2 linked regions of the Arabidopsis thaliana genome follow. The protein of the gene in region 1 interacts with the protein of each later gene in a pairwise test. Each region holds a gene or a part of one and is shown on either strand. Other genes may lie near its edges.

The links.
Region 2: the proteins of RPA32B (region 1) and RPA1A interact in a two-hybrid assay, tested with the Arabidopsis thaliana proteins (one study listed by BioGRID).

What each region holds. Positions count from the first base shown.
Region 1 is NC_003074.8:650,978-656,512, forward strand, and holds RPA32B (Replication protein A, subunit RPA32), read right to left. Parts: upstream 3,504-5,535; 5' UTR 3,213-3,503; coding exon 3,111-3,212; intron 2,725-3,110; coding exon 2,620-2,724; intron 2,515-2,619; coding exon 2,417-2,514; intron 2,324-2,416; coding exon 2,282-2,323; intron 2,209-2,281; coding exon 2,131-2,208; intron 1,917-2,130; coding exon 1,838-1,916; intron 1,752-1,837; coding exon 1,650-1,751; intron 1,569-1,649; coding exon 1,492-1,568; coding exon of another isoform or gene 1,488-1,491; exon of another isoform or gene 1,137-1,487; coding exon 1,068-1,136; intron 952-1,067; coding exon 867-951; 3' UTR 595-866; downstream 1-594. Other genes in the region: AT3G02930 (weak chloroplast movement under blue light protein (DUF827)), read left to right, coding at 4,329-4,345, 4,832-5,033, 5,141-5,535. UniProt on the Arabidopsis thaliana protein: Component of the replication protein A complex (RPA) required for DNA recombination, repair and replication. The activity of RPA is mediated by single-stranded DNA binding and protein interactions. Required fo cell division in meristems.
Region 2 is NC_003071.7:2,582,949-2,588,336, reverse strand, and holds RPA1A (replication protein A 1A), read right to left. Parts: upstream 3,354-5,388; 5' UTR 3,243-3,353; intron 3,155-3,242; 5' UTR 3,123-3,154; coding exon 2,851-3,122; intron 2,387-2,850; coding exon 736-2,386; 3' UTR 651-735; downstream 1-650. Other genes in the region: PSBX (photosystem II subunit X), read left to right, coding at 119-469; AT2G06500 (hAT family dimerization domain-containing protein), read left to right, coding at 5,114-5,157, 5,187-5,383. UniProt on the Arabidopsis thaliana protein: Component of the replication protein A complex (RPA) required for DNA recombination, repair and replication. The activity of RPA is mediated by single-stranded DNA binding and protein interactions.

The sequences.
Region 1 (5,535 bases):
AATATCACAAAACTGAAAATACAACATTAGTATCTTTCTAACAAAACATAGGTGTAAGTGTAACGTCTCAAGGAGATTCAGGACGCTACAGAATTACACTCGTAACTAATTGTATATTCTTTTTAGTATCTCAATTATTTGCATTTTCATATTTATTAAAAACATCATATATTCCTAACATTTCACATCGACAAGAAATAATCTGCCATGGTCATGTCACTAATGCAGAAACGGAAAACCAAAACCTTTTGTTTGACAATTTTTTATCTTAAAAAATCAGAGCATTTTAAGCAGAGCAAGCCGTTTAAACCTTTGGTACTAGTTCAAGTTGTTACTTTCTTAGATTCGTCAAAAACAAAAACAAAATGTCTCTGGTAAAGATCAAAGGCCCAGACCAATATTCAGATTGGACCGGGACTTAGAATTCGGGCCGACCTAATTGACACCATCAGTAGCAACTGGCAAGCATAACAAACAAAATCAAATGACGGAAATGAATTTTAAAAATCCGAAAGCCATAGGAAAGCTTTTGAGTTTAGTCTAAATCCAAAAGCCATATGATTTTGATAAATGGTTTATTAATTAACCCATGTTTGCAGTTCTTAGATAGATGTTGTGTTTTCGCTTCGGTAGAAAAATAATCACTCTAAAAAGAATAAAATTCTCTCAAAACCATATAACAAAAGGAAATCAAGTGACGAAAATGATTTTGAACTTTTGAGTTTAGTTCCCTTTAAAAAAATCCAAAAGCCATAAGAAAGATTTTTAGTCTTAAAACTACATATTGTCCTACCTTAGGGCCTATACAAAAGACTTTTGAACATGAGAGGAGGATTGATATGTGTTGACATATAAATCAATTTTCATCAAGCGTTAGCAGTCGATTTGAAGCATGTCTCGTCCAAAGTCGAGTATATGCAACCATCGTTTGAGAGCTGTTCTAACGCTTCCCTGCCACACAGACAAAGCCGTTCTTGTCAAGAAAATTTCTTTGTTTATATTGTAACTTTATCAAATAGTGATAGGAGGGAGATAGAGATAGAGAGTAAGAATGAGAGGAGATTTACTTGACTTGAAGCAGCGGAATCCTGAGTTCACGGGCAATTATATCACAGTGAACTCCAGCTTCAGATACACTGATGTAGATCCAACATATACAACACCAAATATCAAACTCAAGTTATGCTTTTAGATGAGCGAGAGAGAAGGAGAATCCAATGAAAGAAGTTGAATTCATATGGCAATACACTTATCACTGACTCAAGAACATCAATCTGCTGCAATAACATAATCTCAAACATCGGCCACAAGGCTGATATAGTTGAATGATTTTTACATAAAATTTAGTCAAGGTTGGCTCATAGAGACTTTAGAGGTTGATTTGCTTATTTCATGAACTGCAGTTTGATCATTAGTATTCAAAGCTGTATGAAATGAATGAAATATATGACAAGTTAATTGGGTTCTTTTGGGGATATTAGATGAACTTACATGTGCATAGGTTGATTCAGGTAATTCAAGACCGTCTGCTTTACACCATGCATTGAATCATTGAATTGGTTCGGGAACTGAAAAAGATTCTGTGAGTAACTTAAGAGGACCACAAAAGAGCATGTAAAATTAAATTCTAGATTGATTTTGTCTAATACCTGATTAGATGGACCGGTTTGGTAGGGCTTTGCAGGGGTTGGCATTGTTGAATATGGCATTTGGGGCCTAGGAGTAGCAGTATCTTGAGTAATAGAACCACCCTAAAGTAATAGAGGTTAGTACCTAACATGAGAAGTATTAAGCTGTGGAACAAAGATTAAAAAAGCGGTGAAGGATAGGGTAATACCCGTAACTTGGTGTTGTACATGTGGACATACATACACTCGGTAAAGTGGTGTACAATCTCATTGAAGTCAGTGACAGGCCTGAAAGCATATTATTGGACTAAGTATATATCTTTAAGATGCAGCAAATACATTTACTTGGAGAACACAAAATAGAAAATGTAACATTTTGAGCCACTGAGAAAAAATATCATAGATCGACAAGAATTTTCAAATCCAGAAAGGCTAATAGGAAATGATTCGCTGACCACATATATCATAGACTGATAGAGAAAAGTATGTCAGGAAAACAAACCTGACTGAAAAAACATTCACAGATCGTTTCCCTTGAAAAATTTTCAGGTGTCCATGTAAGCGAACATACATTCCCAGCCTGTTATACATGTGAACTATCAAATTTTTGATATACTATTCTAAAGATCTAGGAATGTGCAGAAGAAACATACTTGACTGCTTCCATTTCTTCAGTTTCTTGCCGAGCGTGACACCTGCAGATGAATTAGCAAGAGATATAGTTGAGCTCTTTTATGAAAGCATTATCATATTGAGGCTGTATTAGCATTAGTATTATAAGTATTTACCATCTGACACAATCAACCCAGCCTGTACCGTCATCAACAACAAAATCGACCTGAGTGATTCTGTTCTCCATTCTAGAAATCCGTCCAACGATTACAACCTATACACAGATAACACCAAAGCTCAAATGCTTGAATCAATAGAGCTTAAGGCATAACATTATCAGCAAACAAGTTTTAACAGCAGAAGATAAAAAGGAGCTCACAGTTTTAATATCAACGCCATCAATAGAGAAATTTGATTCGCCAGTGGTTGATGCGCTGCTCAACTGCTTCAGTGTCAGGGGAAGCAAGGTACGTACATCGCGGTTCTGCAAAATAGTGGTGAACACTCTCATACATTGCTGGACTGCTCAAGTAAAATGGTGCTCATCTGTGATCTCTATATCCAGATTCACAAACGTACAATTATGATAAGATTCAAAATTCACAGATAAAATCCACATTTCTAGATAATATCTAGTCAACAATTTGTTCTTCGATACTTTTCATCCATGTAACATTTCCTAGAAAACTCGAATGGAACTTTTTGCAGCAGATATTCCCGAGAAACGACGAGAATCAGATACATAAACCTAGGTATAGAGAGCAGGCAGAACTAAAATTCGCATGATAAGAGAGAACTTGGATTACACAAAACGCGGAAAGGGTTTTTTTCAAATTGAGAAGATAATTTAGAGAGAGAAAGAGAGGAAACCTTGAGGGAAGATGAGGATTCATGGGCTTGCGTAGTCGCCTGAGAAGGCATGAAGCCGCCGCCGGCGAAAGCAGCGTTGCCGTCAAAATCGCCTCCGTACATGTTTTAAAAAGTTTTCTCTCGTCGTTTGTTGATGTTGATTCGAAACCCTAATGGAACGCTCGTCGCGAATTCGATCCGCCGCTTCTAATAAGTTTCTGGAATTTACTAATTTCTCATATCTTTTACAAATTTCAACTTTTCTTATTCTCAAATCTCAAGTTACTCTCATAAAATAAATAATTAATAACTAATGGAAAATTATATAGAGATCCCGCCAAAAATCTCTCTCATTTTCCCGCGACTAATTTTTAAAGTTTTCCAAGTGAATTTTTGTTTTCAGAAGCATTTTTTTTCAAATATCAATCTGATTACAGTCCATTTATTTACTAAACTGCTTTTATGGAAGGAGCCAGGTCAACTTTGAGACTCCCAGTCCTTCTTGCGGTTAATAAATGGACCTTAATAAATATGGGCCACTGGGCCCGATAAAAAGTTTGCCTAATGGTAGAGTCGTAGAGATATTGTATTCAACAAGATATTGCGAATGCGATGTATAACAAAGTTAGTTATCAATCAATCAAATAGTATCTTTTACATATTTCAGAAATTTCCCTAAGTTGCATATATATACTCTTCTTTTTGTTACTAGAAAAAAACAAACAAAAAAGTTTGGTACATATCGAATATTTATAGTAACGGTATACAGATATTATTCCGCATTAGCTATGGGGAAGACTAGTCTTTTAATCTCCCTAATCTCACGTTTTAGTTTTATGATGATAATTCAAGCGATTATTTAGTCGTGTTATTGTTTGCGTTTATCACGTAGGAAACCGAATCGGATTTTTTTTAATTCATTTAATTTATTTTATAGTTTGCATTTTGACACTTTTTGGGGAGTGTGGCCACTCGTGAGACAAAACCTCACCAACTAGGAGTATCATTTTCTTCTACGTTAGGTTCATCAGTCGTTTCCTTAATCCGAATCATTGTCTCTCTCTCTCTTGATCTTGATCTCTACGCTAAAAATGGGAACCCAGTTAGAGTTCGAGCAAATTTGAGTTTCCAGGTTCCATAATTTAATAATGTATATCAAGTCTCAATTTTTCCTTGGTCGCCTCCTCTAACGTAATTTACTTCTCACTGATCCGCAGCAACGAGACAGAGGCTGTGACTATGGCTTCTAAGATTAAGTAAGTGTCTTTTTCCTTATTAAGATTCATTCTCCGATCCTTTTTTTGATGTCGGTGGAATATTTCGTCGATTCAAATTCCGATCTGGGTCTATCTTGAGGTTGTCTATGATGATGTGGTAGATCTGACTAGGTTTGGGTTTAGGGTTTAATCTCCTGGTTTTTAGTGATTCTATTTGTAACACATTTGTCTGATTGTTCCTGTTTCTGTGATTTTTTTAATCTTACAAGCAGCTTCACTTATATATAAAAAATAATAATAATTTCATTGCAGAGTTCTTAGTTGTTGTTGTGATGTTGTATTTATGTTGATTTTTATTTGTCTTCTCTTCTACTTTATAATTTAGTTAATCTAAGGCTCCATGGCAGAGTTCTTAGTTTTTTTTTTTTAATGATTTTGGCAAGTGTAATCAATTCTCACGTGTTTTGTTTTGTTTTGTTTTGTTTTGCTTGCTTGATGAGAGACCTTTGTTGTTTTCTGAAGCAGAAATGGTTTATCTGACACTACTTTGAGGAAATCATCTTCAACATCTCTAAGAGTGCCTAGACTCACTCGGATTGTGACTAAACCTGATTCTAATTCTCCTTCACCGACTCAACAACAGTCACGGCTTTCGTTCGAGCGCCCTTCTTCTAACTCAAAGCCTAGTACTGATAAGAGGTCCCCCAAAGCTCCAACCCCACCAGAAGTAAGTGTGTTCATAATAGTTTGCCTGGTCTTAACTTGGTTTAGTTTTGACACACTATGCTGCAAATGTTGATATCCATTGTTTTGTTGTCTTATGATTGTTTGCAGAAAACTCAAATACGGGCTGTGAGAGTATCAGAATCGCAACCTCAGTCAGTTCAAATCAAGGAAGATTTAAAGAAAGCCAATGAGCTGATAGCATCGCTCGAGAATGAAAAAGCTAAAGCACTTGATCAACTTAAAGAAGCGCGGAAAGAAGCTGAAGAGGCATCTGAGAAACTAGATGAGGCTTTAGAAGCTCAGAAAAAGTCCCTGGAGAACTTCGAAATTGAGAAATTTGAGGTTGTTGAGGCAGGGATAGAGGCGGTTCAGAGAAAAGAAGAAGAGTTGAAGAAAGAACTAGAGAATGTCAAGAACCAACATGCTTCAGAATCAGCTACTCTTCTTTTGGTAACACAGGAGCTGGAGAATGTCAATCAAGAATTGGCTAATGCTAAAGATGC
Region 2 (5,388 bases), on another chromosome or scaffold:
GAACATCACTAACCTCAAATCTCTCTTCTCAAATACCATTCTTCTCAGCAACTTCACACATTTCGAAAGAGAATCTCAGAAAGATCAATCTAGAGAGACCAAAAAGAGATCGGAAGAGATGGCTTCTACCTCCGCGATGTCATTGGTCACACCACTTAACCAGACCCGTTCGTCTCCTTTCCTTAAGCCATTACCTCTGAAACCATCCAAGGCTTTGGTTGCAACTGGAGGCAGAGCACAGAGGCTTCAAGTTAAGGCCCTCAAGATGGACAAGGCTTTGACCGGTATCTCCGCGGCTGCTCTTACTGCTTCGATGGTGATTCCGGAGATAGCTGAAGCTGCTGGTTCTGGAATCTCTCCTTCCCTCAAGAATTTCTTGCTCAGCATTGCTTCTGGTGGCCTCGTCCTCACTGTCATCATTGGTGTCGTCGTCGGCGTCTCCAACTTTGACCCTGTCAAGAGAACCTAAGACCTATATATCTTTCTTACATCATTATTGTAATCTGTTCTCCTTCTGTGTATTCGTTTCAATGTTGCAGCAATGAACTTTTGGATAAAAGTCAAATTTGTTGTTTCCTGAATTCGAAAGACGATTGAGACTTGAAATCATAACACTAAGCTTCATTGAATCAAGATTCAATAGAATTCATCAATTCATAATATAATAGTGTACTAAACTCGAGCTTGCATATTCTGAGTTAATTGAAATACCTCACTGTAATACCTAGAACGAACTTACCTTACGAGCAAATCAAGCATGTATTTACTCTCGGATGTATAATTCACCTTATCAACCTTCACAACAGTCATCTTCACTCTTTGTTCATCCCCATACGATTCCTCTTTGATCTTCAGCTTCAACATGTACTGATGAAACAGTCTGTCTCTAACAATCTCTGCGAACTCTTCCTCCTTCTCCAATTCGTATTTCATTGCGTAAAGCTTCTTAGCCGGACATCCCATTATTTCTTCTCCTGTTTCTTGAAACGCGGTTATCCAAGTCAACCCAGTGTGGTCTTGAATCTGTACCTGAAGAAGGTATCTATAGTCGCATTCATCAGACTCTTGGTTGCACCGGTCACAGAGCCACCTGTTTGTTCCAGACCGTGTAACCTTCTTGTTGCATTGTTTATCCCCGATCATCAAAGGACAAGCTGTATAACAGAAGCTATCTGTTTTGATGAATGATATGGTTGCTTTCACAGTGATCCAGTCAGGCTTATCTGATCTTCCAAGACCTTCCTCTTTGATCTGAGAAACATTTTTCCTTATCTCGTTCCTGGAAACTCCTCCAGGCATAGTGTCCCTGGAGATGGAGAAGGAAGCAGTGTCTTTTCCCCCGTAATCGAACCAGGTCCGTAGTTTATGAGCTTCAGGGAAATCTGGATTTATGAAGAGCTGTGTTGAAGATATTGTCCCTACTGATTTCCCACTGAAGTCGCTTACTTTTCCAGCTTTTATTGCTAAAACCGGGTGAAAAGCTGAATCAACCATCTCTTCCAGTTGCCGACCATCTCGGTTACAGAATTCTCCCCAAAGTGTTACCTCTACAGCCTTTCCTGATTCATCCTTTAGATTCAGGATCCTCCTATGGGTTTCCATCCCGTTCTTTCTCAAGATTGGCACCGAGGGGTTCACAGAAGTCACCACACCAATGACATCGAGTATGGTATTGTTCTCAGCGTTCTCAATGTCACTTATTGGGCGGAAGGAGAATTGCTGCTTTGGTATGGAGCCATCTTCATCAGGGCAAAGCTCCACAGTCGATGTTGACTCCAAGAAAATTTCCCATTCATTCTTTAAGTGGTTGAAATTTTTCTGTGCAGGCTTCAAACTTCCCTTTGAAATCAAATATACCTTACCAACCTCAGTAACATCATAGAAACGGTCAACAAGAGCATTAAAGCACGTAACCCGAATCTCCCCTCCATCATAGTCAAGCAGATCAAACGAGAAAACCTTTCCATCTCCTTTTGCATTGTTATATCGTCTGATATCTCCTTTCGCAGTTACTCTAGCCTTAATAGCCCATCGACCTTGGTATGGATTGAGAGCAGCAATAGGGATGACTCGAGCTGGAGCCTCGTTCTTCATGATGGGTCCATGATTTCTGTAACTTGCAGGCGGTTGATATGAAGGTTGAACAGATGGCCTGAAGCTTGGAGTATTGTTGGCTTGATTTTGAATGTTTACACCCCTGGGAGGTGCTCTATTAACAGAATGCTGAACCATTGGTTCATTAAAAACAACCCTGTTCGGAGGCGGTATATTGCCCGTACCTGAAAATGTCTTCTGGGCTTCTGTATCTGTTTCTCCAAATATTGTAGGGTTCCCAATGGTTTCAGACTGTTGTACTATCGTCTCCATGTTCAGCACCACAATAAGCCTGTACACAGTATGAATAAATCCATAAGAAAATCACAATCAAAGAGAGCAAAACTCCTTCAAATATGTCATGTTCAACCAAAACAATTGTGTAACTATATTTTCCAACTCACACAATCAACAAAATCATCTCCATTATCATCCTAAATGTTGTCCTTAACATCTGCCTACCAACCATTAAATACCATGAACTACAAAGACAACAACACAAATCTTTCCCACTAGTACATGTTAACCAAAATCATTCATCAATACACGAAACCTCATTGAAAGGTCTCTACCAAAAGCGAAGCTATCATTGCTTCTGCAAACTCATTGTAACAAATGCCTTACACATACTAAACCAAATACATAGCCACGAATACTCAGAAACATTACTAAGCAACAAATCAGAGATCACTAGAAAACTAAGCAATTCAACACAACGAAAACTAGATCTAACCAGAGAGAAAATGGAAAAATTACTTGCGGCCTTTAACGTCGCTACAAATGTAATCAATCAGCTGAACGATAGATCCTTTCTCAAATTGTCCTGACTTGACTCGATCATTAAGCTGAACCGCGACCATAGCATGTTGAGCAGAAACACCATCTGAAATGAGGAAACGATACCTCTCCTGGCTTCTCTCTTGACTTCTTCCTATCATTTTGATTTCTAAAACCTGTAACAACGGCTTCAAATTCACGTCGCCGTCATGTATCGCCGTGATTGCGTTCGGAGTCAAACTCACCGGCATGATTGTGATTTTTTAGATCCCGGCGCGAAACCCTAGAAAAATTGAAAAAATCGATAAACCGGAGGAGGAGTTAGGAAATATTCTATGGAGAAATAGAGCGTGAGGAAGACGAGATTTGACCTAGACGGTGGTGGTGGTGGTGACTGTTAGGAGATTCCTCCGAAAGCTTTGCTGAATTTTGCGGGAGAAGCTTAAAAGATGTTGTTTTGGGTCGCAAAACAGTTTATGGAGATTTTTCAATTTTGAAATTTTTTGGTTGATATTTCAGTGTAAAACTACTAATTTACCCTCGACTCGTAACTGTGAACGACTTGGATTAAATTCTCGAAAGAGAGAAAGACTATAGAACCCCTTAGAACATCCTTATTGGTAAGCTCAGACTAGTTCTTATGTTAATTAGATTAGAAATTTAATGTTTTAATTGATTTCTTTGGTAAGAATTGCTCTTATATAAGAGCAAAAATTAAATCTAAGAGCTAGACATGTGTCAAGTTTTTATTGGGTGAGTGTAAAATATTAACTACATTGTTAAATGTTTTCAAAATTTATGTTGTAATCATTATTAAAGTCTTTAAAATTAAAATGTTTTTATTTTTAAATATTTTTTTTTCTTCTTAAGAACTCAAAGCTAAGAACTCACCATTGCATATTACCAAAATTATAATTTCTTAACCAAACTCTTAACATAAAAGATTTCAAAATTAATTATATATATACCTATGAACTACCCTAAGAATAATCTAAGCAATCCCCAATAATGATGCTCTTAGAGCATCCACAATGGGAGGCTATTAGCAATGACTCTTAGCAATATTTTTATTAATTGATATTGAAAATTTGTAGTTAAGAGTTTGGTAAGAGTTTTAATTTTTGGCATGATTAATAGTAGTATATTAATTTGGGGTTTTTAAAAAAAAGAAAAAAATTAGATTCAAAACCAACAAATTAATTAGCTCAACAAATGTTTAATCACTATAAAATATCAAGAATCTCTCAAAAGAATCTCTCAATAGAATGAGATTTCGAATGAACAACATGTTATACCTTCTCAAATTACTCAAGAACAGACTTAGCAACTTCTCACTTTTGTTCAAAAGAGCATCTAGCGTCATCATTGGCACCAAAGCTCTAACCACTATGTTTAAAAAAAAAAAACATACAAGAACAAATCAAGAATCGTAAACAGAGCTAATTCTTCAACAACAACAAAAATATCAAGAAAGAAGCAAAAAGTTACCATTAAACACATAAGCTTGGATCTGCTCTCTAGGGTTTTGAAGCTCATAAAACACATCATCTGTACTAGCTTTCACTACACAACAACAACAAGAACCAAAAAAACTAATTTACATGAATCTCACCACATATTAACCAAAATTCCAAAAGGATGAAAAAGAATAAGTGATCATGAACCTTAGTTTTGATTTCAATTTTGGTTACAGCTGACAGAGTCGACTGCAAAAAAGGAACAAATTGAAAAGACTACATGATGAAAACAAAATCGATGAAAAACAAAACCAAATATGATCGTCAATAATCAAAAAGGTAAACAAAAAAGAAACAGAACCCAAGTAATTTATTAGATTAGCCAATTCATAGACACAATTTTGATAACAAGCTAAAACCTGGCAATTATCAAACAAATCAAGTTATCATCAGAAATTTTGAAATTACCAACCAACCAACCATATGAGAAATAGATTGAGACAATCATGCAGGGCCGGCCCGTGACGTAAGCGATATAAGCGGTGGCTTAGGGCCCAAAAATTTTAAAGTCCAACGAGGCTTAATTAAAAGAGAGTTGAGAAGAAAAAATCTGATTTTCAACCCAAGACTTCTAAAGCCCATCAACCAATTCTCTTATTCTAGGTTTCCTCCATTAAAAATCTGATTAATTCCATCTGCCGTGAAGAAGCAAGCGACCGACGTACGTTAGAGCGTTGAGTTGAGACTTTGAACGATGCCTCCTTTAGGGATCAAAAAGGAACCTCATGGATGTGATAAAAGAAAATTGCAAAAGAGACGAGAAGAGTTGGTAAGATCACAGGCTAATTCTCTTCTTAGGTACATGAAAAAACCTGAAAATCCTACAATTTCTGAAGTCATTAATTCTGATGGAAACAATAACCAACAAGAACGAGCTGATGAAGTGGATCCAGAGAATAAAGTGGACAATTTGGATGAAGTGGTTCAAGTGGATGAGAATGAATTTGAGAATAAACAACAAGAACAAGCTGAAGTTGTCTTTGAAAAGAAGAAAAGTCGA